4 linked regions of the Anolis sagrei genome follow. The protein of the gene in region 1 interacts with the protein of each later gene in a pairwise test. Links are inferred from orthologs where the notes say so. Each region holds a gene or a part of one and is shown in the gene's direction. Other genes may lie near its edges.

Region 1 (7,519 bases):
AGCATTTGAATGTGTGTGTGTGTGTGTGTGTGTGCATGCACACACACGTAATGCTGCTGCAAAAGTTCTTGTATTATACTATATCCAAGGGTACAGAAAACCCAAAAGAGTTATATTCAAATGAGAAAGGGAGGGACAGGCTTTTCACAGAACCAGAATGTTCCTTCCTACAGCTACTTGAATCATTGAACGCTATTGTGACAAGAAAATATGAATTCTGTCAAGCAATAAATCTTTATCTGTCACATTTCTGACTTTTGAGTCTATATGTGAAAATGCTTCACTGACTAGTTTTCACTTATTTCTTTTATGAACAGTAGGTCTTGGGAGGATAACCACGAAGAATTAGATAAGATCTTCAGATGTGATGAAGTAACTGCCAAGGCTCAGTGCTATGGAGTAAAGGGAACTGTAGTTTGAGAAGGTCTTTAACCTTCTCTGCCAAATAATGCTGGTCCCTCACCAAACAACGAATGCCAGGAATCCGTAGCATTGAGCCATGGCTATTAAAGTGGCATCAAATTGCATTCATTCTGCAGTGTATATGCACCCTTCGTTAAATAAGTCCTGAGTTTGCAGGACTTGTGCAGAGCTAATAATGACAAAGTGTCTTGAAGGGTTCTGATTTGTAGAATTGCCAGTCAAATCCAACTTAACATTTAAAAAACAAAGATGTAAAGTTAACACAGTCCTAAAGCAATTCCTGGAGCTTAATATATGAAGTCTATGGGTTGTGTCACTTCTTTTTAGCACCCCTCTTTCCTAACGTTATCATTATAAAAACCGTTATAAAGCTGGCATCTCTATTAGAAACGTGGCTTTGGTTAAGCACAAGGTCAGGTCTACCATATATCCTGCAATTGTTTTGGGTCCCAATCTTATTATCACTGACCACCAACTTGCTGGCTGGAGTTTATGGATGTTATAGTCTAAATTGTTTGGATGAAATCTCATTAGGGACAGTCATTGAAGAACTCTAATGGAAGAACTAACTCTTTCTTAAGTCATTGTCAGTTCCAAAAACAGAAGATGGATGCAACTATACCAGGCATGGACAAACTTTGGCCCTCCAGGTGTTTTGGAGTTCAACTTCTATAATTCCTAATGGCTGGTAGGCTGTTACGAATTGTAGGAGTTGAAATCCAAAACACCTGGAGGGGTGAAGTTTGCCCATGTCTGAACTATACAATCAACCTGTAGCAGGGAGAATATTCACTAGCTTTTTCGTCTCAAGTGCTATGTCTTGTGCACATCATAGCCACACACTCCTCCCATCCCAATAGTCTTTGCAATAGAAGCCCATGGAAACTGAGAGTGGTGGTGGTGGGGGGGGGGGAGCAATAGAGGCCCCCAGAGCTTGGACCACAACTTTCCAAATCTGGGAAATGTAGTCCAAAATATTAATTTCCCCAAGTTTCTCTCTTACCCATTTTGGAGGCTGCTGCCCCCAATAAAGCCAAAGCGATCTGTCTGGCGATAAGGAGGCATCCCATTCAGCTCAGAGTCAGAGCCCAGGGAGCTGGCATCGTCCCGCAGGGAGAAATCAAAAGCATCTGGTAGTCCAGCCAAAGCTTGGTTTACATTGTCCTCAGGAAGCTCTGCTGAAAGAGAGGGGTCCGACATATTCCCCTTCAAATCTTACTTGTAGACCCTACTGCTGACAGGTCCTTTATTTCATGCCACCTGCTGAGGCCTGGGCATCACCTCTGAGCCGAGCAATACCTTGCACCCATGACTATGCCCCTTGTTGCTGCTGCTGTGACTGAGTTCCCCACACGCTCTGCAAGCCATTTCCTCCCGCAACCATTTCCTGATGCAAGGGACGGTAGTAGTAAAGAAAGCAAAGGGGGTGGGGAGCATGACACAGTGGAAGAGAGCAGAAAACAACTCCCCAAAAAGAAAACACAGGATAACTACCCACAATGCTTTCCAGAAGGGGTTGCACACAAGGAGACCCCACCAGATGTTGTCTCTGAGTTCACAGGTGCTGGGGAAGAATCAACAGGTAGATGGTGTCATCTCTTCCCATCTCTTCCCATCGGCACAAGCTGCACTCTGTATCATCCTTCTGGAGCACGACCTTGGTGTAGGTATTATTTACTCATTAGATTTCTATCTAGCCCTCTGCCCTTCTTCCTTCCTTCTGTTTTGGACTATATTTTGGACTATATTTTCTTGGTAAATAGAACAAATACAACAACAAAACTGCAATCAACGACAGAAAAAGGAGACTTCATGAAACAATCAAAAACCCCATCTGAATCAGCCAGATATCCCTTTGCAAACAGATATCTTAGCACCTTTGAGACTGAAAGACAATGGAAGCATAACCTTAAAAAGCTACATCTACTACATATATTTGGGCTATGAAAGCTGATAATAACATCTTTTTCTCTCAGTCTCAAGATGCTACTATAAACCCCAGCAACTACAACGCCCAAATGACAAAATCAAATTTTTTTGGGTGAAGGACCTACATTGGGTTGTTAGGTGTCTTGTGTCCAAATGTGGTGTCAATTCGTGCAGTGGTTTTTGAGTTCTGTTAATCCCACAAACAAACATTACATTTTTATTTATATAGATTCATAACAGTAGCAAAATTAGTTATGAAGTAGCAATGAAAATAATGTTATGGTTGAGGGTCAACACAACATCAGGAAGTGTATTATGTACGCTTTGATCTTCGGGCAAGGCCAGGCCCGTATCCAGGATTTCGATTCGGGGGGGGGGGGGGAGCTGAGTTTGTTTCGGGGGGCGGGGCTGAATCTGAGTGAAAGAGGGTCTACCCTAGCAAACCTTTTGTATCGTTACCCCAATACCCCCATGTATATGGGATATATTGAGCATGATGATCAGATAATGATATGAATAAACATAACAGTTTAAATAATGCACCTTTTTGCGAACCACCATGAGAATTTCGGGGGGGGGGGGGGCTGAAGCCCCTCAAGCCCCCCCCCCCCCCCGGCTTCATGCTTGGGCAAGGCCCCCTTTTGCCCTTGCCAGTCTCTCAGACTCGCCTTGTGGGTACAAGGGAGAGAGCCTTCTCCTCTGTGGCTCTGGAATTCACTGCCCGGAGAGATTAGGAAAGCCCCTACCTTGGAAACTTTAAAAAAAGTCTTAAGATCTGGCTCTGCCGTTGCGCTTTTGAAGAGTAGCCATATAATTTTATGCTAGCGCTCCTCCAATGTTCTTATCTCAGGAGTCCCCCCCCCCCCCCCCTACGAATGTTGGCTTAATTTCCTATCTCTCTCTGAGTTCACCCTTACAATTAGTTCTGCCCCCTTATCTCACCCGGAGTTTTTAAATCATTTTATGTACATGCGACCCGCCCTTTGTTTGTCTGTCATTATGCTTAGTTCCTATGTTTTGTGTATATTGTTTTATATGCTTTGATGTTTTATATTTTACTGTTATGTTGTTTATTTGATTGCAATTTGTATTGTTATATTGTAATTTTTGTTCGGGCTGGGTCCCATGTAAGCCTCTCCGAGTCCCCTTTGGGGAGATGGTGGCGGGGTATAAATGTTTATTATTATTATCATGAGGAGACAGCAAAGCCTAGAGAAGACAATGATGCTGGGGAAAGTGGAAGGCAAAAGAAAGAGGGGCCGACCAAGGGCAAGATGGATGGATGGCATCCTTGAAGTGACTGGACTGACCTTGAAGGAGCTGGGGGTGGTGACGGCCGACAGGGAGCTCTGGCGTGGGCTGGTCCATGAGGTCACGAAGAGTCGGAGACGACTGAACGAATGAACAACAATTATTATTATTATTATTATTATTATTATTATTCGCAATAAAAATAATGTTATGGTTGAGGGTCACCACAACATCAGGAAGTGTATTGAGGGGCCAGGGCATTAGGAAGGTTGAGAACAACTTATCTACTCTGTAGAATGAACGCAGTTTGGCACCACTTTAACCGCCATGCCGCCATGCTATGGAATGGTGGGAGTTTGGTGAGGCAGAGACAGCAGAAGACCTTGCAAAACCACAACTCCTATGACTCCTATGATGGGTTTGCCTTAGGGTCCCCATCAGCTGACTCAAAGGCGCCCTGCAACAACCACATGGTTTCTGAATGACACACAGAGTGAATCATCTCTATCCAGGTTGAAAACACATTCCAAAATGGGGCTGGCAACCTTCTGGCCCAGGGCCAGGTGTGGTGCTCAGCCTGGTCCTATATTTCTTTACACCGTGTAGATCAGGCGCAGGTAAATTTTGGCCCTCCAGGTGTTTTGGACTTCAACTCCCAGCCTTCCTCACAGCCTCAGGCCCTTCCCCCCCCCCCCCCCCAGCCGCTTAAGGAAAGGGCCTGAGGCTGTGAGGAAGGCTGGGAGTTGAATTCCAAAACACCTGGAGGGCCCAGGTTTGCCTGTGTCTCTGTTTCCTTGTGTTGGGAGGAAGCGGAGAGAGAGAATGCTGGCGCAATCGCAGGAAAGCCTTGCTCCCTCCAGCCAGTAGGAGGAGGTGGTTGGCAGAGTAGGAGCAGCAGGAGCAAGAGCAGCAGCGTCACTCCTTTCCACTTCCTCCCTCCTTCTCTTCCTTCTCTTCCTTCTTCCCTCGCTTCGGCTGCGGAGGCTCTTCGGCGAGAAGGAGGCGCGGACGGAAAGCTTTGCCCTTGCCTTTTCCCCGGCCGCTCCCTCTTTCCCAGGAAACAGCAGCAAGGAAGGAAAGAAAGAAGGCAGGAAGGAAGGCTCAGTCTCAGCCCCGAGACGCTCCTCTCCCGCCATGTCGGACGGCGAGAAGCTCAACCTGGACTCCATCATCGGGCGCCTCTTGGAAGGTGAGCACTGAGCAGCCGCCTTGTCCCTCCCCCAAAGCCCCGTCTCCACTGGATATTTAATGCGGATCCAAGCTCGCTTTCCAACTGCGGCGGCCTGGGAACAAGCTCCCACCCGCGAGAGAAAGGAAGCCCTTCCTGCGCGCGCACACACACACACACCAGTCCCTTTGGGTCTGTCTGTCTGTCTGTCTCTCTCTCTCTCTCTCTCTCTCTTGTAGGAAGCCCATACTTTGGTGCGCGGTCTCTTCTTTCCATTGGGTTGTGCCTTCCTTCCTTCCTTCTTTCCTGTCTTCTTCCCCATGGCGGGCAGTCAAACTGGTTCCAGGATTTTCCTCCTATGGAGTCGTGTCTCTACACTTTCTTCCATACCGGTTTGAAACGCCACTCAAGACCTCATCACACTAGAGAATGAATCCACATTGAACCCGGTTTCTGCTTCCTGCAGAATTCTGGGGTTTGTAGTTTAGGGAGGAGCTTTTAACAGCCTCACTAAACTACAAACTCTAGAATTCTGCAGGAGCCAGAAACCGGATTTTAAGTGGATTCATTCTCAAGTGTGATAAGTGTATTTGGGGCCTCGGATTGGGGGAGTTTTCCAGGCCAAAGGGAAACGAAAAGGGCGCCTCATCCTCTTCCAAAAGAAGGAGAAAGGGAGACAGACGTTCCCCTTTGTTGCGGTGTGTCTATACTGCAGGGTTAATGCAGTTTGACCCCCCTTTAACCGCTCAAGGCTCAGTGGTTTGGAATCCTGGGAGTCCTCGCTTGGAAAAGGCCATATTTATCAGCTTCATCCGCCCCCTGAATGGGCCCCAAAAGGTGGAGGGGGGGGCACACATTCCCCTTGTTGTGGTGCCTCTACACTGCAGGGTTAACGCAGTTTGACCTCGCTTTAACCGCTCAGGGCTCAGTGGTTTGGAATCCTAGGAGTTCTCGCTTGAAAAGGCCATATTTATCAGCTTCATCCGCCCCCTGAATGGGCCCCCAAAGGTGGAGAGGCGGGGGCAGACATTCCCCTTGTTGTGGTGCCTCTACACTGCAGGGTTAACGCAATTTGATCCCGCTTTAGCCGACCAGGGCTCAGTGGTTTGGAATCTTGGGAGTCCTCGCTTGAAAAGGCCATATTTATCAGCTTCATCCGCCCCCTGAATGTGCCCCAAAAGGGGGAGAGGCGGAGGCAGACATTCTCCTTGTTGTTGTGCCTCTGCACTGCAGGGTTAACGCAGTTTGACCCCGCTTTAACCGCCCATGGCGCAATGGTTTGGAATTCTGGGAGTCGTCGCTTGCAAAAGGCCTTTCTCAGCTTCCTCTGCCAAGGAGTGCCTCGCGGCACGACCAGTCCTAGGATTCCAGAGCCACTGCAGTTAAAAGTGGGATCAAACTGGATTCATTCTACAATGTAGATCGATGCATCCATTTTGGGGGGAGGGCGAGGAGAGTTTTGAGTATGGGTGAAGCTTCCTTTAAGACTCCCACCTTTAGGCACAGAAAGCAGAGGCGGTTTGGGGGGATTTGGGCGTGGAGGCGGCCCTCTTCATCGCTTAGGGAAACATCATGGCTCTGGGGAAGAAGGGGCTGCTGCGTATTACGCATCTATGGGAATGGGTGCATCTACACAGAGGAGTGCATGCGGTGTGGCCCCAGCTTAACCAATGCTTTGGAGTGTTAAGGAGTCGCAGTTTGGCGAGGCGGCAGTCGCCCTCTTTGGCAGAGAAGCCCAAAGGCCTGGTGAGATCCCCAGGGTCCCCAAGCCTTAAGGCGAGCCGGAAGTGGGCGGGTACACTCCCTCTGTCCTCCAGCCAGGGGCCCCTTTAAGGGGGCTGCCCCTAGCCAAAGCGCCCCCCCCCCCGGACAAGTTTGCACTCCAGGAGGGCTTCACAGGAAGAATGGAAGAGAGGAGGGCGACTAAAGTGATCAAGGGTCTGGAGAACAAACCCTATGAAGAGCGGCTTAAAGAGCTGGGCATGTTTAGCTTGCAGAAGAGAAGCCTGATAGGAGATATGATGAGAGCCATGGATAAATTTGTGAGGCGAAGTCATAGGGAGGAGGGAGCAAGCTTGTTTTCTGCTTCCTTGGAGACTAGGACGCGGAACAATGGCTTCAAACTACAGGAAAGGAGATTCCACCTGAACATTAGGAAGAACTTCCTGACTGTGAGAGCCGTTCAGCAGTGGAACTCTCTGCCGCAGAGTGTGGTGAAGGCTCCATTTTCGGAGGCTTTTAAACAGAGGGTGGATGGCCATCTGTCGGGGGTGTTTTGAATGCAATTTTCCTGCTTCTTGGCAGGGGGTTGGACTGGGTGGCCCATGAGGTTTCTTCCAACTCTATGATTCTATGAAAAGAAAGTAAGATAGCCTTCTGTGCCATAGAGTAGCTGCCTATAATATTCAGGTGTTCTTTAAACTTAACTAAAATTGCCATTAATAATAGGAAGTTGCTTCAAAAAATATAGTTAACATGGTAACTAGTTAACATCTAAAGTTAATTAATTAATTAATTGATTGACTTAATTTATTTTATGGTGCTTTCTGAGCCATCCAGTTCATGCTTCTTCTGCCTGCAGGAAAAAAAAACACAATCAAAACACTCCTGACAGATGGCCATCCACCCAATGCTGAAAAACCCCTAGAGAAGGAAACTCCGCCACACCCTCAGGTTGCAGCATATTCCACTATTACCGCCAGGAAGCTCTTCCTGATGTTTATTTAGGTGGAATACCTTTTCCTGCAA
Region 2 (6,990 bases), on another chromosome or scaffold:
GATAGACCCACAGGATAATAGAGTTGGAAGGACCTACCAGCTATTAGGACTTATGGAGTTGAAGTCCAAAACACCTGGAGAGCTGAAGTTTCCCCATGCCAGCTCTAGCCCACCCTCCTGCCATACAGCAATACACCACCAAAGCACTCTTGAAAGATACCCATCAACTTCTGTTTAAAGAAATCCAAAGAAGGAGGGTCTGTTGACCTATGATGAAATCATTTCCTTTGTTGAACAGCTCACAAAAAAGGGTCTTCCAAATGTTTCAATACGACTTAGATGAAGGGTTAGAAGGCAGGATCATCAAGCTTGCAGACGACACCAAATTGGGAGGGATAGCCAATACTCCAGAGGACAGGAGCAGGATTCAAAACAATCTTGACAGATTAGAGAGATGGGCCAAAACTAACAAAATGAAGTTCAACAGTGACAAATGCAAGATACTCCACTTAGATACTCCACTAAATAGGAAGTGAAAGAAATCTACCCCAGGAAGAGAAATTCACTCCTGAAAGTATTCTCATGGAGAAAAGGTGTCTCAGCTGAAGGTTTCTCTCCTATCCTTGTTTCCACAACAAGCCAAATGTTTCAAAATCTGATTATTGCAGAGACAGAAAGTTTCGTGAAATTTGGGCACAGGCAACAAAACAAACACCACATATATGTCTGGAGTTACACTGAAAAATGTATCTGCTCTGACATACATACAAATTCAAATTAGTAACAAACCTACAGAACCTATGTTGTTTGTAACTTGGGAACTGCCTGTATGCCATTTGGTCAGGCCTCTTGATGCTGCATAACAGTTTACAAGGAAGTAATTGTAAAACAAATGAATGACAAATTAATAAACGTACAGCCATAAAACCCTGTAATGTATGTTGACAGTTTGTCAGAATTTCCAGTGATGAGTGAATATATAAAAAAGGTGGACTGAGATAAAATACATTTATAATTGCAGAAATGCCAAACACTGTAAGCCTCTTGTGGTTCTTCTCAGCTGAAGGTAGCTGTCACTTCTGCAAATGAGGTAGAGAAAAGAATAGGACCATTTATTACAAGAATTACAAGTTCCTTTCCTTCTTACTTCATGTCATGCTGCATCCACCCTACTGGGAGCCTGCCTCCGCCCACAGGCTCCCAGTTACTTTGTATCCAACTTTTCCTTACCCAAGAGAAGCTCCTCAATGCAACGCCAACTGATTATATTACAATCATTATTGTGAGCACATGTGTGCATATATCATATATGTGTACATTTTGTGTGGACACAATGGGCTCTAGGGCTAAATGTATCCTTTCCAACCTTCAGCCCATCCAGACTTCTCAACTGTCCTTTTACTTGTCATTAAAAAGGGAATATTGCTTTTCCTAGAGGTTTCCAGGATTAGCAATTTACTTTTTAAATAGCTTATACTCCACCCTTCCCTGTTAAACTATTTAACTTTAATATGTATATTTATATCTAAACCAGAAGGAGCTCCAGCCACATTCAGATTTCTGAGTGAGGGCACTTTTATTGGTTCATGTGGCTCCAGAGGACCCTAGGGACAGAAGTTATAACATTATAACATTAATTAATTTAAAATGTTTATATTAGACCCTTCTCATCCCACAGCAGACTCAGGGTGGAGCACAATATACAGAAAAATTTAATGCTGGGACATAAACTATTAATATACATAAACATTAACATCAGTTATATCGACTTTAAAATCAACTGTTTAAAACCATCTCAGGACACGATTCTATTATTGCCTCATTGAACTGCCCAAAGGCTTGGTCACCATCCTTGTAAAGGACAGGAGGGAGGGGGCTTATCTAATATTGCCAGGAAGGGAGTTCCATAGCCGGGGGCAATCACTGAGAAGGCCCTGCCTCTCATCCCCACCAAAGGCACCTGTGACGGTGGCAGGACCGAAAGCAGGGACTCCCCAGAAGACTTTGTCTTTGTGGTAGTTCATAAAGGGGGATGTGTTTGGACAGGTAAACTGGGCCAGGGACGTTTAAGGCTTTATAGGCCAAAGCCAATACTTTGAATTGCGCCCAGTAGTAAACAGGCAGCCAGTGGAGCTGACATAACATGGGAGTTGTATGCTCCCTGTATACTGCCCCAGTTATTAACCTGGCTGCCTCCCATTGGACTATTTGAAGCTTCCGAATAATCTTCAAAGGCAACCCCACATAGAGTGCATTGTAGTAGTCTATCCTGGATGTAACGAGAGCATGGACCTCCGTGGCCACATCTGATTTCCCAAGGTACAGGCGCAGCTGGTGCACAAGTTTTAATTGTGCAAAAGCTCCCCTAGCCACCTCCGCAACCTGAGATTCCAGGCTCAGCAATGTGCCCTCCAGGAAGACTTCCAAGCTGTGAGCCTGTGTCTTCAAGGGGAGTGTTACCCCATCCAGCACATATACCCTGTTCAGCCTTGCAACTGACCAGGAGGACCTCTATCTTGTGTTCATTCAACTTCAATTTGTTCACCCTCATCCAGACCGTCACTGCAGCCAGGCACCGATTCACAACCTGGACAGCCTCCTTAGAAACCGGTGGAAAGGAGTATACCGCTGGCGTCGAATTCCAAAACTCCAAATGATCTCACCCAATGGCTTCATGTAGATGTTAAACAACATGGGAGACAATACTGAGCCCTGCGGAACCCCACAGGACAATGGCTGCGGGGCCGAGCAGGTTTCCCCCAAAAACACCTTCTGGATATGATCCTCCAGGTAGGACTGAAGCCACTGCAGAGGACTACCCCCAAGGCCCATCCTTGCAAGGTGACCCAGAAGGATACCATGGTCTATGATATTGAAGGCCGCTGAGAGGTCCAAGAGAAGCAACAGGGACACACTCCCCTGTCAAGCGCTCTGCAGAGATCATCCACTAAGGCGACCATGGCTGTCTCAATTCCATGACCCGGTCTGCGACGGATCCAGATAGTCAGTTTCGTCCAAGAACCCCTAGAGCTGCAAGGCAACCACACGTTCCAAGACTTTGCCCAAAAAGGGGAGGTTGGAGACTGGTCAAAAGTTGTTCAAAGCAGTGGAATCCAGTGAAGGTTTTTTCAACAGAGGTTTTATCACAGCTTCTTTTAAGTTCACTGGAATTTTGCCTTCCCAAAGGGAGGCATTAACCACCACCTTTACCCACTCTGCCAACCCCCACCCCCAGGCTTCCTTTATCAGCTAGGATAGACGGGTCCAGGATGCACGTGGTCACTCTCACCTCTCCAATAATCTTGTCAACATACACCTATACATATAGGCTGAGTGGACAGGGCAGGAGAAGTCCACTTCATCAAGATTTCAGTTGAAGGCAATGCTTTCCTAAAGTAGTTGTCCACAACAATAAAAACTGTCCCTTAGGGGAGCATTAAAAAAACTCCTATACCATCCTACTGGAATTCTAGATTATTAGAGAAGCCCACAAGTATCACCGAGGTATAATATGCTGGCTCTTTTACCAGTACTATGCTTGCCAATTTAGGCTCTTATTTTAGATTTCTCATGTTTTGTATTCTGCAGTGAAAATGTTGCAAAGAAACTTTTTAAACACTGTGACTTAATCCTATATAAACACAGCCATCCCACAAAAAGTCAATTACATCTCATGTTTTGCTCTGCCTTGGTACAGTACAGATCTGTATATATCTACTCAGAAGTAAGTCCCTTTGAATTTCAGTGGGGCTCACTCCCAGGGAAACCAGTACTGGACTACAATCTTAACCCCCCACAACTGCATTCCTTGTGTACTTCATGTTTTTCTTTGCCTTTGTGTGCAGACTCTCCATGGTTTTGTTTTCTCACCCTTCTACACACCTCCTCCTTGGTTCCTAAAACAGATTGGCTTCATAAAAAAAAGGCTGAGCCAATTTATTGATCAAAGTTGCACTGGTACAAAGCCAGATTAGCTCAAGCATTTTTTTTCCTCCAGGAGAAAAATGCACCAACGGTTTCCTCTTTCTTAGTTAATAATTCTGTTTCCCTGTTCTCACTTGCCTGAAGTATATGTAGGAGTCACAGGCTGGCAAGCTATGAGTTAACAAGGCAGCATGTGTTAAGTTGAGCTAAGTGAGTAATGCACCTAGTTAAAGTTTTCAATGCGGCTGCAATTTGGAGAGTGAGAAAAGGGGAAAGCAACACCAGGAGCAGTTATTCCGTGAGCTGAACTCGTTTTGAAGGGGTCATGAACACAAGGTCAGTGGTACTGCCAAAAATTAGTAGACTTTCTTCCTTTCTTCCTTTTCTTCACAGTTTCCTCCTTCAAATGGAAGCCATACTCTGCGAAAAGCTTTAGCACTTATAGCTTATGACTCTTCCCAGTAGTGTGTAACTTGTTCAGTGGCCGGCTAATGATTTGAAGTGTTATATAACGCAAGATTTTTCAAGGTTTAGGATATAGAAGGACAGGAGCACCATTTGGCAGAACTGATCTGAGTATGTTTTCCTGATTTTGAATACACAGGCACCTTGGTGTAATATGGGATGGTGCAGGTTTTCCGCAGGCCATGACTTGAATTCAGGATTAAGTATCTGTTTCACTTTAGCTTGCAAACTGTCGGAAAGGTGCTAAACAGGTTGAGTTGCTTTTAGGCAGTGGGAGGGTTTTCCCCCCTTCTTTTGGACGATCAAAGCAAGCTACAATACTGCCAGTCCCTGAAATCAAGAAATGCTGTCTGAACTTCCAGGTACGCCAAAGCAATGTTTGCCATCAAAGTGACTTGCAAATGAGAAAATATAGAAAATTCAGCAATGCTTTTTAAGATAATGCGAAACATTGTGGGTGGTTCTCAGAGAGTATGTGTAAGCGATGCCTGATTTAGAAAAGGAGAATAAAAAGGGTAGAGTGTGTTAAGCCATGTGTGTCAGTGGAACACCTTCTTTCTTTATCTGGTGTGCACATTTTACTGTTTTCACTGGATGTTTATTTTGGGGGGTGCATTGTTTTAAGGTAGAATGATCCTTCATCAGTACACCCATGGAAGATTGTATTGCTCTGGGAGAATCACATCATGGAAAAAATTAATTTCTCTTGTTTTTAATCTTTAGTCAATGAAACATGGGTCTTTCCTGACACTCATTAGGCAACAATTCTGCTCACTGGCATTTATTTGCAAATTATTATTTTTCTGCTAAATTTGGTTGTGTGGGGTTGTCAGGGAATACATGGTGCAAATTGGATCATGAAACATTGCTACAAAATGTAGGTGGCATACATTTCATAACACTGAAGTTGTCAGGTTCTGCAATTTCCCCCTCTCTCTTCTTTTTCTTCACACAGGATGTTGATTTTCAGATTCAAAAATTACATGAATCCACAAGGTTCATGGTGAAATATTCCTGAGCAACTGTCCTTTACTCCAATAAACATTATGTGGATTTTTCCAGCTCTCCATTTAACATTAAAATAATAGTGTAACAACTGCCCTAATATGGGCGATTTAGCTTTATTTGACATGTTGGAGTGCCCGTTGTGCTTGGGGAAGCTGGATATTTCAGCCAAGGTGCTCCCCTGCCAACACACTTTCTGCAAGCCTTGCCTCCAGAGAATCCTGAAATTACACAAGGAGTTGAGATGCCCAGAATGCCGAGCCCCTGTCCTCTGCAGAATCGAAGAGCTTCCTGCCAACTTGTTTTTGATCCGCTTATTGGATGAAATCAGACTTGGATCAAATGTCATGAAGTATGGCTCACTTCAAAGATATGGGACTCTCTCCTCTCCCTCTTCCCTCAGGAGAGTCCGGGGAGAGCCAAGAGCTTTGCAACTCCACCAATATGGGCTGACTTCCAATCCCAGGATCCCTATAGAAGGGGTAAGAATCTTCCCTTTCTCTTATCATTATCTCAGTTAGTAGATTTGTAGGCCATTTTTCATTGTAAGGGTGTTGGATAGATTCAGTTTATGCCAAAGCTGGTTGCCTTCCTTCTAAGCTACCGAGTTATCTTAACTGGATCTCTGCAGCAACTTCGTTTTTAGGTGTAAATTTATTCTGACTGGAACAATTTCAAGCTAAGAGCCTGGTTCCCATGTTTTCAAGGGATTGCTCTCTCCAGCTGAGCCTGAAATTGTACAGAGGCTTTTCAAAGTGACGTTAGAGTCCCTTCTATTTCCAGTCTTAGATTAAACCAGGGAATGGAAAAAATGTTTAGATGTGGGAGAGAAAAACAACTTTCACACCTGTCGAGGATACAGAAAGGTTTGATTTTTCACAGAACCTTTTTGAAAATAATGATTTATTCTGTCCTGTTACAACATGAGCATGGGGGAGGGGGAGTCTTTGATCCTTTTAAAGGGATGTGGCAGGATCTGAGTATGGATAAAAAGTAGGTCAGCTGTGCCCTAGATTCTCTTGTTCCTAGTCATACCAACACTTTTCTCTGGGGTCTTACACAGAAAGCTCCTAGCAAGTTCCACCCCCTCCACACATATTTGACTTTGCACATATTTTGGGGGATCAAGTGTGTTGATTTGGCTCTTGGCATAGGTGGAGGATTCAGTCTATAAGAGCGAAAGCCTCCGGGGTTTTATACCTTTGACTCTGAATGCTTCTTAATATGGTTTTGCAAAAGCATGACTTTGCAGGAAGCTCTTTGAAACTAATTATGCCTTATATAAGTATACTCCTAGGGAAAGCAGATGCATTTTTAGAGTTCTGATTCAGGTTTCCTTCATCGGTGGCTATTTGTTGTGAGACATCCCTGTAAAGAAAAAAGGCATTTGAAGGAAATCTCAGTTGTGAAAAAGACACCAGTAAGGATAGGTTTAGGCAAGCTTGTTCCTACTTAATTCTGTGTGGTATCATCTTTGATTGTAATTTGTTGGAGCAGCACCCTAGATAAACAGCCACAGCAAGTTGTAATTGGGGAAAACAACCCAGTGTCTTCCACACACACCCCATACTTGTCAAACTTGAAATTATCTGTAACCTAGATCAATCGCATACTAAGTGCCTATCACTAGAGTTTCACCCATCTTCTCATATCTAC
Region 3 (7,444 bases), on another chromosome or scaffold:
ATTAGCTTTTTAAGTCCCTTCTGCTGTGTTTTTCAGTGTTTTTATGAGTGATGGTCACACATTGGCCTGATAGGCGAATTGTGTCCAAATTTGGTCCAAATTCATCTAGTGGTTTTTGAGTTATATTAATCCCACAAACAAACATTACATTTTTATTTATATAAGACTAGCTGTACCCACCACAAATTGCTGTGACCAATCTTCCCTCCCTCTTTCTCTCTCTCTCTCTTTCTCGCCTTCCTTCCTTCCCTCTCTCTTTCCATCTCTCCTTCCTTCCTTCCTTCCTTCCTTCCTTCCTTCCTTCTCTAACTCTTTCTTTCCTTCCCCTTCCTTTTTTCTTTCTCTCCTTCCTTCTCTACCTATTCTTGGACTGTAACTCCCAGCAATCCTCCTGAACCTGATTCATCTGTCTGCCTACTATCTATATCTAATATATATATCTTATTTATCTGGAGGATTGCTGAGAGTTGCAGTCCAGGAATAGGAAATAGGAAATATGTATGGATTGGAATACTCTCAAAGAAATCCAAGGAGAAGCAAGTTTGTAGCTTGGAAGCAGTGCATTTGGTGCACCCTCCTCTCCTAAAGGACTTGGGATGCTGGGAGTTGTCATTGACACGCATGCGTTGTATTGTCATTTACTTTTTTGGGGTTTTTAGGTCCTTTCTGCTGTTTTTTTGGGAGAGGTTTATGAGTGATGGTCACTCGTTGGTTTGGTAGGGGTGTAGTGTCCAAATTTTGTGTCAATCCGTCCAGTGGTTTTTGAGTTATGTTAATCCCAAACAAACATCACATTTTTATTTATATAGATTATTATTTATTATTCAAACTGGTTTACAGTAAAACCATTGCAATACAATTTAAAATGTAAAAATATACAAACATTAAAATAGAATAAAATATTAATGGTATTAAAATAGAAAAAAATCAATTATATTAAAAACAAACAGTTAAACTGTGTAAGAACCCAATCCTATCTCCCCCCTGATTGAACTCTACAATGAACTCTCAGACCCCTTCTACACTGCCAGATTATCTGCTTTGAACTGGATTATATGGTGGTGTAGACTCATACAATCCAGCGCAAAGCAGATAATGTGGATTATTTGCTTTGATAACTTGAATTATATGGCAGTGTAGAGGGGGCCTCAGTTAACTGGTGAAAAAAATCAAATAAATATTATTTTAAATAATAAAAAGCGGTTTTTATAATACAGTAAAACTGTGTTAAATTAAGTTTGTTTTAGGACCTCATCACACTGTGTTACTTTTGTACTAGTGATATTTTCATGTTCAGGGAGAGAGAGAAAACATGTAAAATGGTATGCTCTCCCCTGTGCTGCCTCTAATGGCAAAAGAGTGAGCAGAGTCCTATTTTGCACCAATATAGGACAACATACTGTACTATATGTTATTTGAAATACCAGTTGGTGGTAAATCAGCAGAAGGACAAGTTTTCCCTACCTATTACTGACATTGTAACTGAAGCCTACTGTATTGTCTCAAGGTTTCAAGTGGAGGAATGTTATAAGCTTAAGTGGAAAAAAAACCCTTCTTCACTTCATTCAGGATCTGTCTATACAGCCAGGCCTCCACATTTGCTGGGGTTAAGGCCACAGGCCTCACGTGAAAGGGAAAACCCATGAATAAAGAAGAGATTCCCAGGGAGATAGTTTTTAATCTGATGCATGAATTGAATAACCAACTCCGCAAAAGTCAAAATTGCAAATGTGGAGGAATGACAGTGTGCATGCATGCATTTTCCCATTCTGTATGTATATATGTATTCTATGATATACACACACACATATTTTGTGTACAGGTAGTCCCCAAATTACGAACAAGATAGGTTCTGTAGGTTTGTTCTTAAGCTGAATTTGTATGTAAATCAGAACAGGTACATTTTAAAGTGTAATTCCAGCCAAATATACATATTGTTTAGTTTGGATAGAATAGTGAAGGGTTGACGTCCCTGTGGTGCTTGTTTTGTTGCCTGTGTCCCTGTTCAGAAAATTTCACCTCACTTTCTGCCCCTGGAATAGTTGGATTTTGAAAAATGTGGCTTTGTAGAAATAAGGATGCGTGAGAAAGCTTCAGTAGAGACACATTTCTACCATGATAATAGCTCTTCCAGGAGTGAATTTCCCTTTCTGGGGACAGATTTCTCTCACTTCCTGTTGTCTTGGCCCTGTTCTTAACTGTGAGTTGTTTATAAGCCAGATGTTTGTAACTTGGGGACTGCCTGTGTGTATGCATATGTGTGTGTGTGTATATACACATACATACATAGGTAAAGGTAAAGGTTTTTCCCTGACATTAAGTCTAGTCATGTCCGACACTAGAGGGTGGTGCTAATCTCCATTTCTAAGTCGAAGAGCCGATGTTGTCCGTAGACACCTCCAAGGTCATGTGGCCAGCATGACTGCTTGGAGCACCGTTACCTTCTCGACGGAGCAGTACCTATTGACCTACTCATATTTGCATGTTTTCCAACTGCTAGGTTGGCAGAAGTTGTGGTTCATAGCAGGAGCTCACACTGCTACTCAGATTTGAACCGCTGACCTTTTGGTCAGCAAGTTTAACCCACTGTGCCACCAGGGGCTCCATATATGTACACACACACACATATATATATCTTCATGTACACACATACATATATGTACATATAAATGAGAAAAAGCAAAGAGATATGCAAACTCAGCCCCACTTGTTGCAAAATTTTTGCAAACAACACAAGTCTCTTCTCATTCAGAATATATACTTACTTATTTAGGTGACCTGTCATTGGGCGAGTAGGATAGTCTTCCAGGATCAGTATTCTTGTGGATCCGTAGGTGACTGTGGAGCCCTATTCTTGACCTGCATCTTTTCCCACAGTGAGGGCATTGGTTTCCAGGTGGAAGGCGGTCTCGGTCAGGGTTGGCGTGACACATCTTCCTCTTGGTACGTTTCTCTCTTTCACCCTCCATTCATGCCTCTTCAAATTCTGCAGCACTGCTGGTCACAGCTGACCTCCAGCTGGAGCGCTCAAGGGCCAGGGCTTCCCAGTTCTCAGTGTCTATGCCACAGTTTTTAAGGTTGGCTTTGAGCCCATCTTAAAATCTCTTTTCTTGTCCACAAACATTCTGTTTTCCGTTCTTGAGTTCGGAGTAGAGCAGCTGCTTTGGGAGACGGTGGTCGGGCATCCGGACAACGTGGCCGGTCCAGTGGAGGACCATCGCTTCAATGCTGGTGGTCTTTGCTTCTTCCAGCACGCGGATGTTTGTCCGCTTGTCTTCACAAGAGATTTGCAGGATTTTTCAGAGACAGAGCTGATGGAATCATTCCAGGAGTTACATGTGACATCTGTAGACAGTCCACGTCTTGCAGGCATATAGCAGGGTTGGGAGGACAACAGCTTTATAAACAAGCCCCTTGGTATCCCTACGGATGTCCCGGTCCTCAAACACTCTCTGCTTCATTTGGAAAAATGCTGCACTCGCAGAGCTCAGGCGGTGTTGTATTTCGGTGTCGATGTTGACTTTGGTGGAGAGGTGGCTGCCAAGGTAGCGGAAATGGTCAACATTTTCTAAGCTGTATCTCTGGCATTGGAGAGGGGTTGGCTGGTGACGTGGACTGTCTACAGACGTCACATGCAACTCCTGGAACGATTCCATCAGTGCTATTTCTGGAATAGGAAAACTCCAGCATTATGTCCCTGAAGCACTTTATTACAGTTGTAAGATTCTCTGCACATTGCACTTGTCCTGAAATCCAACATACCACCTGTCACACCCAGCACTTTTTAATCTGTACCCATTACTTGGCCTGGCCCTAGTTTTTACTGTGTTATGGTGTAACGTTTTGTTGTTATTGCTTTATGTTTTTGATTTGCTTTGAGTTGTATTTGTTATGCTGTTGTTGTGTTGAGGCCTTGGCCTTTGTATGCCGCATCGAGTCCTTCGGGAGATGCTAGCGGGGTACAAATAAAGTTTAATAATAATAATAATAATTGGTTGGTGTCTGCTCGAACAGCACTTTGGTTTTCTTAATGTTCAATGACAGGTCGAGTTTCTCGTATGCTTCTGCAAAGGTGTTTATATATACAGAATATAAAGAATATATATACAGTATACATACACATTTCTGAATGAAAATATACAGTATACACACACATATATTCTGAATGAGAATATATATATTGCACACACACAAACCTACACACATATATATGTATGTACACACATACATATATATATATATTCTGAATGAGATGAGGCTTGTGTCGTTTTCAGAAGTTTTACAAGTGGGGCCAAGTTTGCACACTTCTTTGCTTTTTCTCATTGACTAAAGCGCGCACCCGCCCTCTCTCCACTTTCCAGGACCGCGCCGACGTCACCGCGCCTGCGTGTGCGCGCGCGTAATAGCACTGTCCTACCTACCAGCAGCAGCAGAGACAGCAGCCTTCTTTCCCCTCAGCTCGAGCGGAGCCGCGTTCGTCTCGAGGGTGGGTGCGCGCGCCCTCACTCACTAACTCACTCACTCGCGCGCCCGTTCCCTCGCGCCGCCAGCTCATGTCGTCACCGCCGACGTCATCCTCCCCGCCTTTCGTCACTTCCAACCCCTTCTTCCTCGTCCTCGCGCGAGCTCAGTTGCTTTCCGTCAGCCGAGGCAGCCGCGACTCCTCCTCCTCCTCTTCTCCCCCCTCAGACTGTCACTCCGGTTTCGGGCTGTTCTCCGTGTAGACACCCTTTCCTCCCCTTGCCGTCGAGGGCGGACGAGGCCGGCATGTCCGGGCAACAACAACAGCAGCAGCAGCAGCAGCCTCCGCCACCGGCCACGGCTCCCCCTCCTCCTCCTCCCCCGCCGCCTCCTCCGCCGCCACCTCAAGCGCCGGCCCACACAGGCCCGTCCCCGCTGCTGCTTCACCCGCCGCCGCCACCTCCGCCCGCCACCTCGGCCCCGCCGCCGCCTCCTTCTTCGGCCTCCTCGTCTTCCGCCTCCATGGCAGCCGGGAGCGGGGCCCCGTCCGCCTTCCCTCACGGCGGCGGCGGCGGCGTTGGCGTTAGCGTCGGGGACCCGGCCCTGAACGAGCAGGAGAAGGAGCTCCAGCGCCGCCTCAAGCGCCTCTACCCGGCCGTGGACGAGGGGGAGACGCCGCTGCCCCGCTCCTGGAGCCCCAAGGACAAGTTCAGCTACATCGGCCTCTCGCAGAACAACCTGCGCGTCCACTACAAAGGTGAGCAGCCAGCCCAAGGCCCAGGAGCAGGCCCGGGACCAGGCCCCGGAAGGAGGGAGGGAGGGAGGGCGCGCTCCCCTCTCCCCCCCCCCGCGCGTGCACCCCGATTTCCAACAATGCTGCCCCCTCCCTTTCTTCTTCAATACATAGCAGTTTCCCCCTCCCTCTCCTTCTCTCCTTCGGAGGACAATAGTCACCCCCCCCCCCCTTCTCACACGGATCCCCTCTTCCATTTTGGGCCTTCCTGCCTCCTTCCTCGGCCTCGGGTGGGATTTTGAGCAATCTGGCCTGTTCTCTAGGAAACTAGGCCTGGGATTATTGTTATTCCCCTTTCGCGTTAAACCAGATCCTTCTGCCTCTGGTCTTAATAGGGTATGAAAGAGAAATGGGGTGGGATCTGTGGCGTTAATCTCTGCGGTTATTTCCTCCCCTTTAATAAGCATATACAAGTTTGTGTGTGTGTTTATATATATAAATATATATATGTATCCTGTGTATGTGTTTATATATCTATATCTTAGTATATATTCTCTGTGTGTTTGTGTATTGTGTATCTATGTCTATATCTTAGTAGCATATATGTGTGTTTATATATACATACATACATACATATATATACATACATATATATGTTTGTATACTGTATAACATATTCCTTACTATCATAGATAGATAGATGAGTATATACCAGTAGTATATAGATGATAGATAGATGAGTATATACAAACTTTGGCCCTCCAGCTGATTTGGACTTCAGCTCCCATAATTCCCATAAATGTTTTGAAGTCCAAAATGCCTGGAGGGCCAAAGTTTGCCCATGCCTGGTATATACTGTATATATGATATTCCTGTCTTAATCATATGTGTGCGTGTGAATATATTCATGTTTATTAGTAGCATATGTGTGTGTGCAGTGTTCCTTTCTTTGTCTGTGTGTGTATACAATCCTTAGTAGCACATATTTGTGAATGTGTTTATCTGTATTCCTTTCCTAGTAGCACTTATTTGTGTGTATATATATTTATATTCCTTTCTTAGCATATATTTGTAAGTGTGTGTATATTTGTATTCCTTTCTTAGCATATTTTTGTGAGTGTGTGTATATCTGTATTCCTTTCTTAGTAGCATATATTTGTGAGTGTGTGTGTGTATGTGTGTATATATATATATATATCTTAGTAGCATATTTGTGTATACACACACTCCTTGGTAATGTGTGTGTATTTGTGTATTCCTTCCTTAGTAGCATCTTGCGAAGAAGCTCACATAGGGGAACGGAGGGAGGGGGAAATGTGGAAAAATAGAACAACAGGAAGTAACTCTCATTGGGTCTTCTGAACAGTTTCGGAAACCCAAGTGGAGACAATCCGACTTTATCCCTCCCTCTGCGATTGCTTCTCTCCACCCATCAAACATGTAAGGATGTTTTGCTTTCTGCTTTGGGTTAGAGGAGGATATATAAACTGGCAGGTTTTCTGCTGCCCGCCTGATCAGTTCTCTTGCTAAATCACAGCTTGGGGTCAGGGGAGGAGAAAGCAAGCCAGTCAGTGTGACGTGTCCAATTAAAAATAACCAGTTAGGGCAAGGAATGTGTGTTTGTTTAGCAAGAGAGCAAAGGTCAGCTGAAGTTGGAAGAACAAATGTAGGAGAAGAAAGGTTTTTGAGGAGAAAGGTTAGAGAACCATTGTTTATTTCTGGGAATTTTGTCTATGGCATTGTGCTTGCTTATGAACAATACAATTCAAAGTTCAGTCAATGTTAGTTCTTCAATTTCAGATTCCCCTGTATTTTAATCTAATCTTCCCCATAAATTTCATGAGTCAATAATGGAGAAAGTAAATTTCATATCAAGGAAACTGAATTATCCACTCTGCTGGGATTTCTTGCCTCACATAGTATTTTCCTTTTATATGTGTAGCAAAAATGATGTGTATAAATAGGACCAAATAGGCAACAACTGCCAACTACTTGCCTTACAACTATGATAGTAAAGCCCAAAGAACACAAATGAATACAAACCTGGAAAGCACACATCCAGATAATCTTCTGAGTTATGAAAGGCAGGCTTTGGTAAAATTGTCTAATGAGTATAGGAAAGGATGGGAGACAGAGCCAATGTGTTGTTCTTGTCCAGAGTACAAAATGATGTCATTCAAGTCAGTTTTTCATAAACTCGAGTCTTTGCTCAAAGCACAGTTATCCTTCCTTATCCATGGATTCAGTCAT
Region 4 (7,401 bases), on another chromosome or scaffold:
CCTTCTAAGTTTGTTTTCCTGCTGCACGAGAAACCAATGAGTCCAAGAGCAAATCTAGCTTGAGCTCTCACAAGAAGCCAACATGACTCATTTCCATACCATACTTTGGAAATACAATGAGATGATATGACTAACTGAAAACGATATTAATGCTCAGTAAAGTGGAAGGCAAAAGAAAAAGAGGAAGACACATTACAGATGGTCTGATACCAAGAACTTTCTCTCTAAACTGTATGGTGTCACATGTTATGTTCTGTAGCCAGGCATAATATGGGAACTGATTTATTTTTATGTAAAGCAGACCTGTGTGCTGTGATGCATTTGTGTGTCAACTACAGTATGTAGGTGTGTTGCACGAACGTAATGCGAAACTGGGTTGCTGTGTATGGCCATGTTTCAGAAGCATTCTCTCCTGATGTTTCACCCACTTCTATGGCAAGCATCCTCAGCGTTTGTGAGGTTTGTTGGAACACCTCCCAACAAAGAATTTCGCCAGGCAGAAGGTAGCCAGGCTTTGAAGCTGCAAGGCTATTCAATGCCAATGAAGCTGGCCAATTGCAACATTCCCACTTGCCTCAAACAAAGAAGAGACATTCCACAAATATATAAACCTCACTTGCCTAGTTTCCAACAAACTTCACAACCTCTGAGGATGCCTGCCATAAACGTGGGTGAAACGTCAGGAGATAATGTTTCTGGAATATGGCCATACAGCCTGGAAAACTCACAGCAACCCAGACTTCAATAACACGTAATGAGAAACCTCTGAGTCTATATGATATGAAAGGTTTAAATAGGATACCTTATGTACCCATGCTTTTAGTTATTACAGTTTATGTATGTATTAGTATCCCTTATAAGGAGTTAGTTTAACCTCTGGTTTGCTAATAAAACTGAATTACTGTGTCGCTAAATGGTCCAGGTCTAAAAAGTAAGTCACCAACATGAAATGTTTGGAAAGCTCTAACGTAGTTTAGTTGGAAACATTAGTGTGGGTATAATTCAAAGATATAGCTGAATTAGTCTGGAATATCAAATCTTGTCATAGAGGCTAACTGAGAGTCAAGTTGGTAGCATAAGTATTCTTAGATGAATCTAAATAAAAAGACTTAGTCTATTAAAAGGTATGCTAGGAATTCTAGTCTCAAAAAGCACAACAAGATGCTTTGTATTAATGTGAGTAGCCACTAGGCTAGGAATAACAAGAGACAATTTAATCAAGCAATTTCCTGAGGTGTGATGGGACTCTAAATTGAACGAGAAGTATTTAAAAATGTATTTGAAAGTGATTTTTTGATCAAAAGCAGAGTTTTCTGGGTGCCATAGACTCAAAGGATGTGCTGGACAATTGACAATGATGGCAACAATGCATATTTTTATGAATATATAGCTTCATGCTCATATCTACCTTGGCCATTGATGGAGCAGTTAGGTATACATTACTCCAAACACAATAATTTATTGTTAATATAGTGCATAATTAAGACATTTAAATGGCTAAAGATTTTCTATATCTTGGTTCACCCATGCATCGAGGAACCAGAAAGCAGCTGTAAAGGAAAAAAAGATATTCAAGTGGAAAAAGATACATGATTAAATACCAGAGTCACATGCCAAAAAGACTAATAAATGAGTCCAAGAGCAAATCTAACTTGAACTCTTACAAGAAGCCAAAATGACTAATCTGAGGAAACCGTACTTTGGAAATTTAATGAGATGACGTGACTAAGTGTAAATGATATTAATGCTCAGTACAGTGGAAAGAAAAAGGAAAAAGAAGAAGATGGTATTACACACAGATTGAGTTAATCCAGGAAGCCACAGCCTTGACCTTCCAAGACCAAAGCAGAGCTGATGATGACCAGTCTTTTGGGGGAATTGTATTTATACAGTTGCCATAAATCAAAGCCAATTGACACCAGCAAATAAGTGTCTGTATTAGCATATAACTAAAAGGCAACTGTATTAACTTTACCCTGCCCCCCCCTTTTAATCTAGGTATATAGTTGTTTCAAGAAATCCTTATGTTTTTTTTAAAGATATAACCTTCCTGATTAAAGTCCATATAGGCTGAATATTCCTTATCTGAAATGCTTGGGACCAGAAGTGTTTTGGAGTTCATGTATTGTTTTTATTTAGAAATGCATTTATTTGCATATAGATACTTAATGAGATATCTTGGAGATAGGAACCAAGTCTAAACAAGAAGTTAATATATACAGTATTTAATATTTAACACATAGCCTGAAAGTAATTTTATGCACAGCATTTTTAATGTTGTGCATAAAATAAATTTTGTGAACCATTTTGTCACCCATGCAAACAATTTAGGATTCTGGAGGATTTCAGAAATCTGGATAATGGATGCACAACCTATATTTTTATCGACTGTACAAAAACCTATTTTATTACCCTTTGATTGCGTATGTTTTTGTGCCAGATTCTTATTGTGCTTTAGTTAATATTTAGTATTAAAATCAGCCCTCCATATTTGCTGGGGTTAGGGGTACAGGACCACAAGGAAAGTGAAAAACCCTGAATTCAGAATCTGATACTTTTTTAAAACATGAGAGTATACATTGTGTTGTCAAAAGCTTTCATGGCAGGAATCACTGGGTTGCTGTGTTTTCTGGGCTGTATGGTCATGTTCCAGAAGCATTCTCTCCTGAATGCTTCTGGAATGAATGGTCTTGCAGCATCAAAGCCTGGCTGCTTCCTGCGTCTGGAAATCCTTTGTTGGGAGGTGCTAGCTGGCCCTTCCAGGTGGGAGGGAGCCAGGCTTTGAAGTTGCAATGCCATTCAATGCTAATCAAGGTGGCCAATTGCAGCATTCACACATGCTTCAAGCAGACGGGTTCTTTCTCCCACTCTGGACATTCTACAGATATATAAACCTCACTTGCCTAGTTTCCAAGAGACCCCACAACCTCTGAGGATGCCTGCCATAGGTGTGGGCAAAATGTCAGGAGAGAATGTTTCTGGAACATGGCCATACAGCGCAGAAAACTCATAGCAATGCAGAGCACTCATGGCTAGGTCGGTCTTTCAGAATGATTCAATGCAATGGCCAACTTCCACTGGAAACTGACCACAGAATTGCATTGGAGAGCCTAGAGCAGTAGTTCCCAACCTTTTTTGGGGGGGGGGGGGGAGGGGAGGTCATGCCCCACCTTAGCATCTCTAAAATCCTTATATCCACCCCCCTTTTTAAAGCATTAATTTGGTCTGAACAAGCTTACAAATAAAGTGGGATCCATCTATATAAATAAAAATAATGTTCGTTTGTGGGATTAATGTAACTCAAAAACCACTGGGCAGATTGACAACAAATTTGGACGCAAGATGGATAAGAAGAAAAAGGAAGAGAAGAGAAAGGAGGAAAAGGAAAGAGGGCAGGGGAAGAGGGGGAGGAAAGAAGAAAAGGGGATGAGGAGAAAAAAGGAAGGGAAGTGGCAGAAGAAGGAAAAGGAAGAGGTGAAGAGGAAGGCGTTAGGAAGTGGAGAAAGAGGAGAAAGAAATGGATGAGGATAAGAAAGAAAAGGAAGAGAATAGAAAGGAGGAGAAGGAAGAGGGAGAGAAGAGGACGGAGGAGAAGAGGAAGAGAGGAAGGAAAAGAAGAGAAGAAGGAATGATGAGGAGAAGGAGAGAGGGGAGAAGGGAAAGGAAGAGGGGAAAAAGGAAAAGAAGAAGGAAGGATGAGGAGGAGAAGGAGGAGAGAGAGGAGAAGGAGAAGGAGAAGAAAAAGAAGAGAAGGAAGGATAAGGAACAGGAGGAGAGAGGGGAGAAGGAAAAGGAAGAGGAGAAAAAGAAAAAGAAGAGAAGGAAGGGTAAGGAACAGGAGGAGAGAGGGGCGAAGGAAAAGGAAGATGAGAAGGATGAAAAGAAGAGAAGAAGGAAGGATAAGGAGGAGGAGAGAGGGGAGAAGGAAAAGGAAGAAGAGAAGAAGGAAAAGAAGAGAAGAAGGAAGGATAAGGAGGAGGAGAGGGGAGAAGGAAAAGGAAGAGGAGAGGAAGGAAAAGAAGAGAAGAAAGAAGGGTAAGGAACAGGAGGAGAGAGGGGAGGAGAAGAGAAGGAAGGATAAGAGGAGGAGAGATGGGAGAAGGAAAAGGAAGAAGAGAAGAAGGAAAAGATGATAAGGAAGGAAGGATAAGGAGGAGGAGAGAGGGGGGAAGGAAAAGGAAGAGGAGAAGGCGGCAAAAGAGGAGGAGGAGGAGGAGGAGGAGGAGGAGGAGGAGGAGGAGGAGAAAATGGAGCATGACCAGGCGGAGTCGCCCCTGGCGCCCTGCGGAGGGAGTCCCGCCTCCTGCCTGCCTGCCTGGGCGCTGGTGCCGCAGTGCCGTGCTCTGCCTCCGGGTCCCGCCAGGGGGCGCTCGTGTCTCCGGGCTGAGGCGGCTTCGCGAGGAGTCAGCCGAGGAGCGGGCCACCGAGGAGGAGCTCGCTTGCTTGCCCGCCCAGTGGAGTGGAGCGGAACGGAGCCAGGGCCCGAGCGGGAGCCGGAGGAGCCGGAGGAGCCTGGGCCCGAGCGGAGCTGGCCTTCCCTGCTCGGCACCCTCCTCTCTCCCTGCCTGCCCGCCCGCCCGCACGCCCGCCATGCAGGCCCCGCGGTGGCGGCGCCTCCTGAGGTGAGCGAGCCCCTCGCCCGGCAGGCCCTTCTGCCCTCCCCGCCACCTCCTCCGCCCAGGCCCCAGTCTCCCTCGCTCTCTCTATCTCTTTCCCTCTCCCTGAGGCTTTTGTCCTTCCTGAGCCCCCGTTGGGAAGGAGCCTCGTCTCCCGCCTTGCGCCCCCTTCTTCTACCTCCTCCTCCTCCTTCACCGGCCGAGCAGGCCCCCTCGCCGCCTCAGGAAAGAGTTGGGGGCGCCTCGTTGGGGGCAGCGCCCTCCCCCTCCTTCCCAGGTGGCCGCAACAACAACAACAACCCTCCCTCCCTCCCCCTCAGCACTGCCCACTCCCCTTCAGGACAGGCCCCGCGCCCTTACGTCCTTTCCCCCTTCTCGGGGCCCTTCCACACAGCCCCATATCCCAGAATATCAAGGCAGAAAACCCCACATTATCTGAATGTAGACTCTGGGCCCTTCCACACAGCCCTATATCCCAGAATATTAAGACAGAAAATCCCACATTACCTGAGTGTGGACTCAGACAACCCAGTTCAAAGCAAATATTGTGGGATTTTCTGCCTTGGGATATAAGGCTGTGTGGAAGTGCCCTCGGAGTAACCCTCCAGACCTCCTCCTCCCCTGTCCATACTCCTTGCTTGTTTTTGCAGTTCTGCCTTCTTGCACCCATCTTTCCTGCTCTGCTGCTTCATAAGATGTATCTCTCTCTATGTATGGGTGTGCGCATCTATGACACAAAATAGGACATCTCTCTCTCTCTGGCCCCTTCCACAAAGCTGAATAAAATCCCACAACATCTTCTTTGAACTGGATGATCTGAGTCCAGACTGTCATATATTCCAATTCAGAGCTGGAAATGTGGGATTTTATTCAGCTTTGTGGGAAAGGGCCTGGAATACCTCCGCCCCCTTCCACACAGCTGAATAAAATCCCACATTATCTGCTTTGAATTGGAATATATGGCAGCGTGGACTCAGATAACCTAGGGCCCTTTCACACAGCCCTATATCCAAAAATATCAAGGCAGAAAATCCCACACTATCATCTTTAATTGGAATATATGGTAGTGTGGACTCAGATAACCCAAGGCCCTTTGAAACAACCCTATATCCAAGAATATCAAGGCAGGAAATCCCACACTATCTGCTTTGATTTGGCATATATGGCAGTGTGGACTCAGATGACCCAGGGCCCCCAGTGCAAAGCAGATATAGTGGGATTTTATGCCTTGATATTCAGGGTTATATGGCTATCTGGAAGGGCCCTGAGCCCACTCTGCCATATATCCCAGTTCAAAACATAACTAGGATTTTATTCAGCTGTGTGGAAGGATCCAAAAATAACCCAGTTCAAAGCAGATATTATGGATTATCTGCCTTGATATTCTCGGTTATATGGCTGTGTGGACCCCCCCCCCCCAATCTATATATAATGACACAAAATAAGTATGTGCATATATATTTATGCATGTATGTGTACACACACACAAACATACAGACAGTCCCTTATTTTCAAACATCCAACTCATAAAGGAGTGAGACAACAGGGGAGCCTTCCACACAGCCCTATATCCCAGAATATCAAGGCCCACAGGTTGAGAACCACTGATATAGGCAGGTGTCCCCCCCCCCCCCCCCCAGATATATATCTGATACGACTCCTGTTTGCTACGTGTCTTATTTTGTGCCTGCCTGAGGTGCTTTCCATTGACCTGGCTTAATTCTTTGCAAATAATGTGTTCCCTATTAAAATAATTTGAAAGGTGCCACTGTTGCTGAACGAGAATGCTTTTTGGGACACAAGGTTACTTTTAATCATCTTTGTAGTTATGCCTGTGTAAACAGAGTTCATCCTAGTGATAAAACTGACTAGACAGATTTTTCAAACGGTGCCTTTTTCATTCATAGTAATGTGGATAGGGAGGCCCAGATGATGCAATAAGCTGTTCTTTACTTTTATTATGGGCATTACAGGAAGTTATCTTGCTTGAATGCTTAGGTGTTGGCCATCTGAGGCATTTATGTGTATTGGACTGAAATGCATTCGAACAACCTATTGTTTTATTAATAGATTTGAATAATAAGAACAGGCCCAGAGTGCAAAATCTAGAAACTCTGAATGATTTGGAGAAGTTAATATAAATTTTCAGCTCTGAGCCTGTTCTTGTGCATGTATACCTTACAATTGATGCAAATTTCGAAGAGGCTAATAGAACGAGGAAGGAAGCATAGAGGTCATGCTGGAGGTTAAAAGGACAGCTGATGTGTAGGACATAGATACTTAGAATGATAATGTCTCATTTATTTAATATAATAAACCTGGAACGTATATATACAGGAATGAGTTCTGGTTTGAGTAATGTCTAATAGTGTCTAAAGGTTCACATGCTCTTCTGGGCTTGGCCTTACAGGGAACAAAATGAATAAATACACTTTATTAGTTAGCAGTGCAAAGGTGCAATCATGTGCTAGCAAACAGTTATCTTTCAGGAGTCTATTTCACACTCCATATCTTTTGAATTGTAATTGCCAGAACTTCCTGAGACAAAATATGTGAAGTGCTTTCCAGATTAAACAGTAAGCAGACTATTACTTTGTATGTTATCATGTGGTAAATGTAGGGGTTTGAAGGTTTGTTGGTAGAACTTATTTTTATTTCATAGCTGATCATACTGGATTTCTTAAATTCTTAGTGTCCCCCCCCCCCCCCCATAAACATCTCTAAAATAGGTTGGGTCTTAGAATGTTACACATATAAATAAAGTTGTTTTTTTCTGTTAGTGGTA

Evidence for each region.
Region 2: the proteins of PPP1CA (region 1) and SH3RF2 interact in binary tests that used the Homo sapiens proteins (3 or more experiments, as listed by UniProt). The link is inferred for Anolis sagrei from reciprocal best matches to the Homo sapiens genes PPP1CA and SH3RF2.
Region 3: the proteins of PPP1CA (region 1) and RANBP9 interact in a two-hybrid assay, tested with the Homo sapiens proteins (2 studies listed by BioGRID and IntAct). The link is inferred for Anolis sagrei from reciprocal best matches to the Homo sapiens genes PPP1CA and RANBP9.
Region 4: the proteins of PPP1CA (region 1) and ZFYVE9 interact in binary tests that used the Homo sapiens proteins (3 or more experiments, as listed by UniProt). The link is inferred for Anolis sagrei from reciprocal best matches to the Homo sapiens genes PPP1CA and ZFYVE9.

What each region holds. Positions count from the first base shown.
Region 1 is NC_090021.1:232,682,141-232,689,659, forward strand, and holds the start of PPP1CA (serine/threonine-protein phosphatase PP1-alpha catalytic subunit), read left to right. Parts: upstream 1-4,513; 5' UTR 4,514-4,737; coding exon 4,738-4,792; intron 4,793-7,519. UniProt on the Homo sapiens protein: Protein phosphatase that associates with over 200 regulatory proteins to form highly specific holoenzymes which dephosphorylate hundreds of biological targets.
Region 2 is NC_090022.1:97,525,849-97,532,838, forward strand, and holds the start of SH3RF2 (E3 ubiquitin-protein ligase SH3RF2), read left to right. Parts: upstream 1-3,977; 5' UTR 3,978-4,200; intron 4,201-4,584; exon of another isoform or gene 4,585-4,691; intron 4,692-5,284; 5' UTR 5,285-5,435; coding exon 5,436-5,816; intron 5,817-6,990. UniProt on the Homo sapiens protein: Has E3 ubiquitin-protein ligase activity. Acts as an anti-apoptotic regulator of the JNK pathway by ubiquitinating and promoting the degradation of SH3RF1, a scaffold protein that is required for pro-apoptotic JNK activation.
Region 3 is NC_090024.1:80,067,053-80,074,496, reverse strand, and holds the start of RANBP9 (ran-binding protein 9), read left to right. Parts: upstream 1-4,439; 5' UTR 4,440-4,767; coding exon 4,768-5,218; intron 5,219-7,444. UniProt on the Homo sapiens protein: May act as scaffolding protein, and as adapter protein to couple membrane receptors to intracellular signaling pathways. Acts as a mediator of cell spreading and actin cytoskeleton rearrangement.
Region 4 is NC_090024.1:173,922,554-173,929,954, reverse strand, and holds the start of ZFYVE9 (zinc finger FYVE domain-containing protein 9), read left to right. Parts: upstream 1-4,379; 5' UTR 4,380-4,622; intron 4,623-7,401. UniProt on the Homo sapiens protein: Early endosomal protein that functions to recruit SMAD2/SMAD3 to intracellular membranes and to the TGF-beta receptor.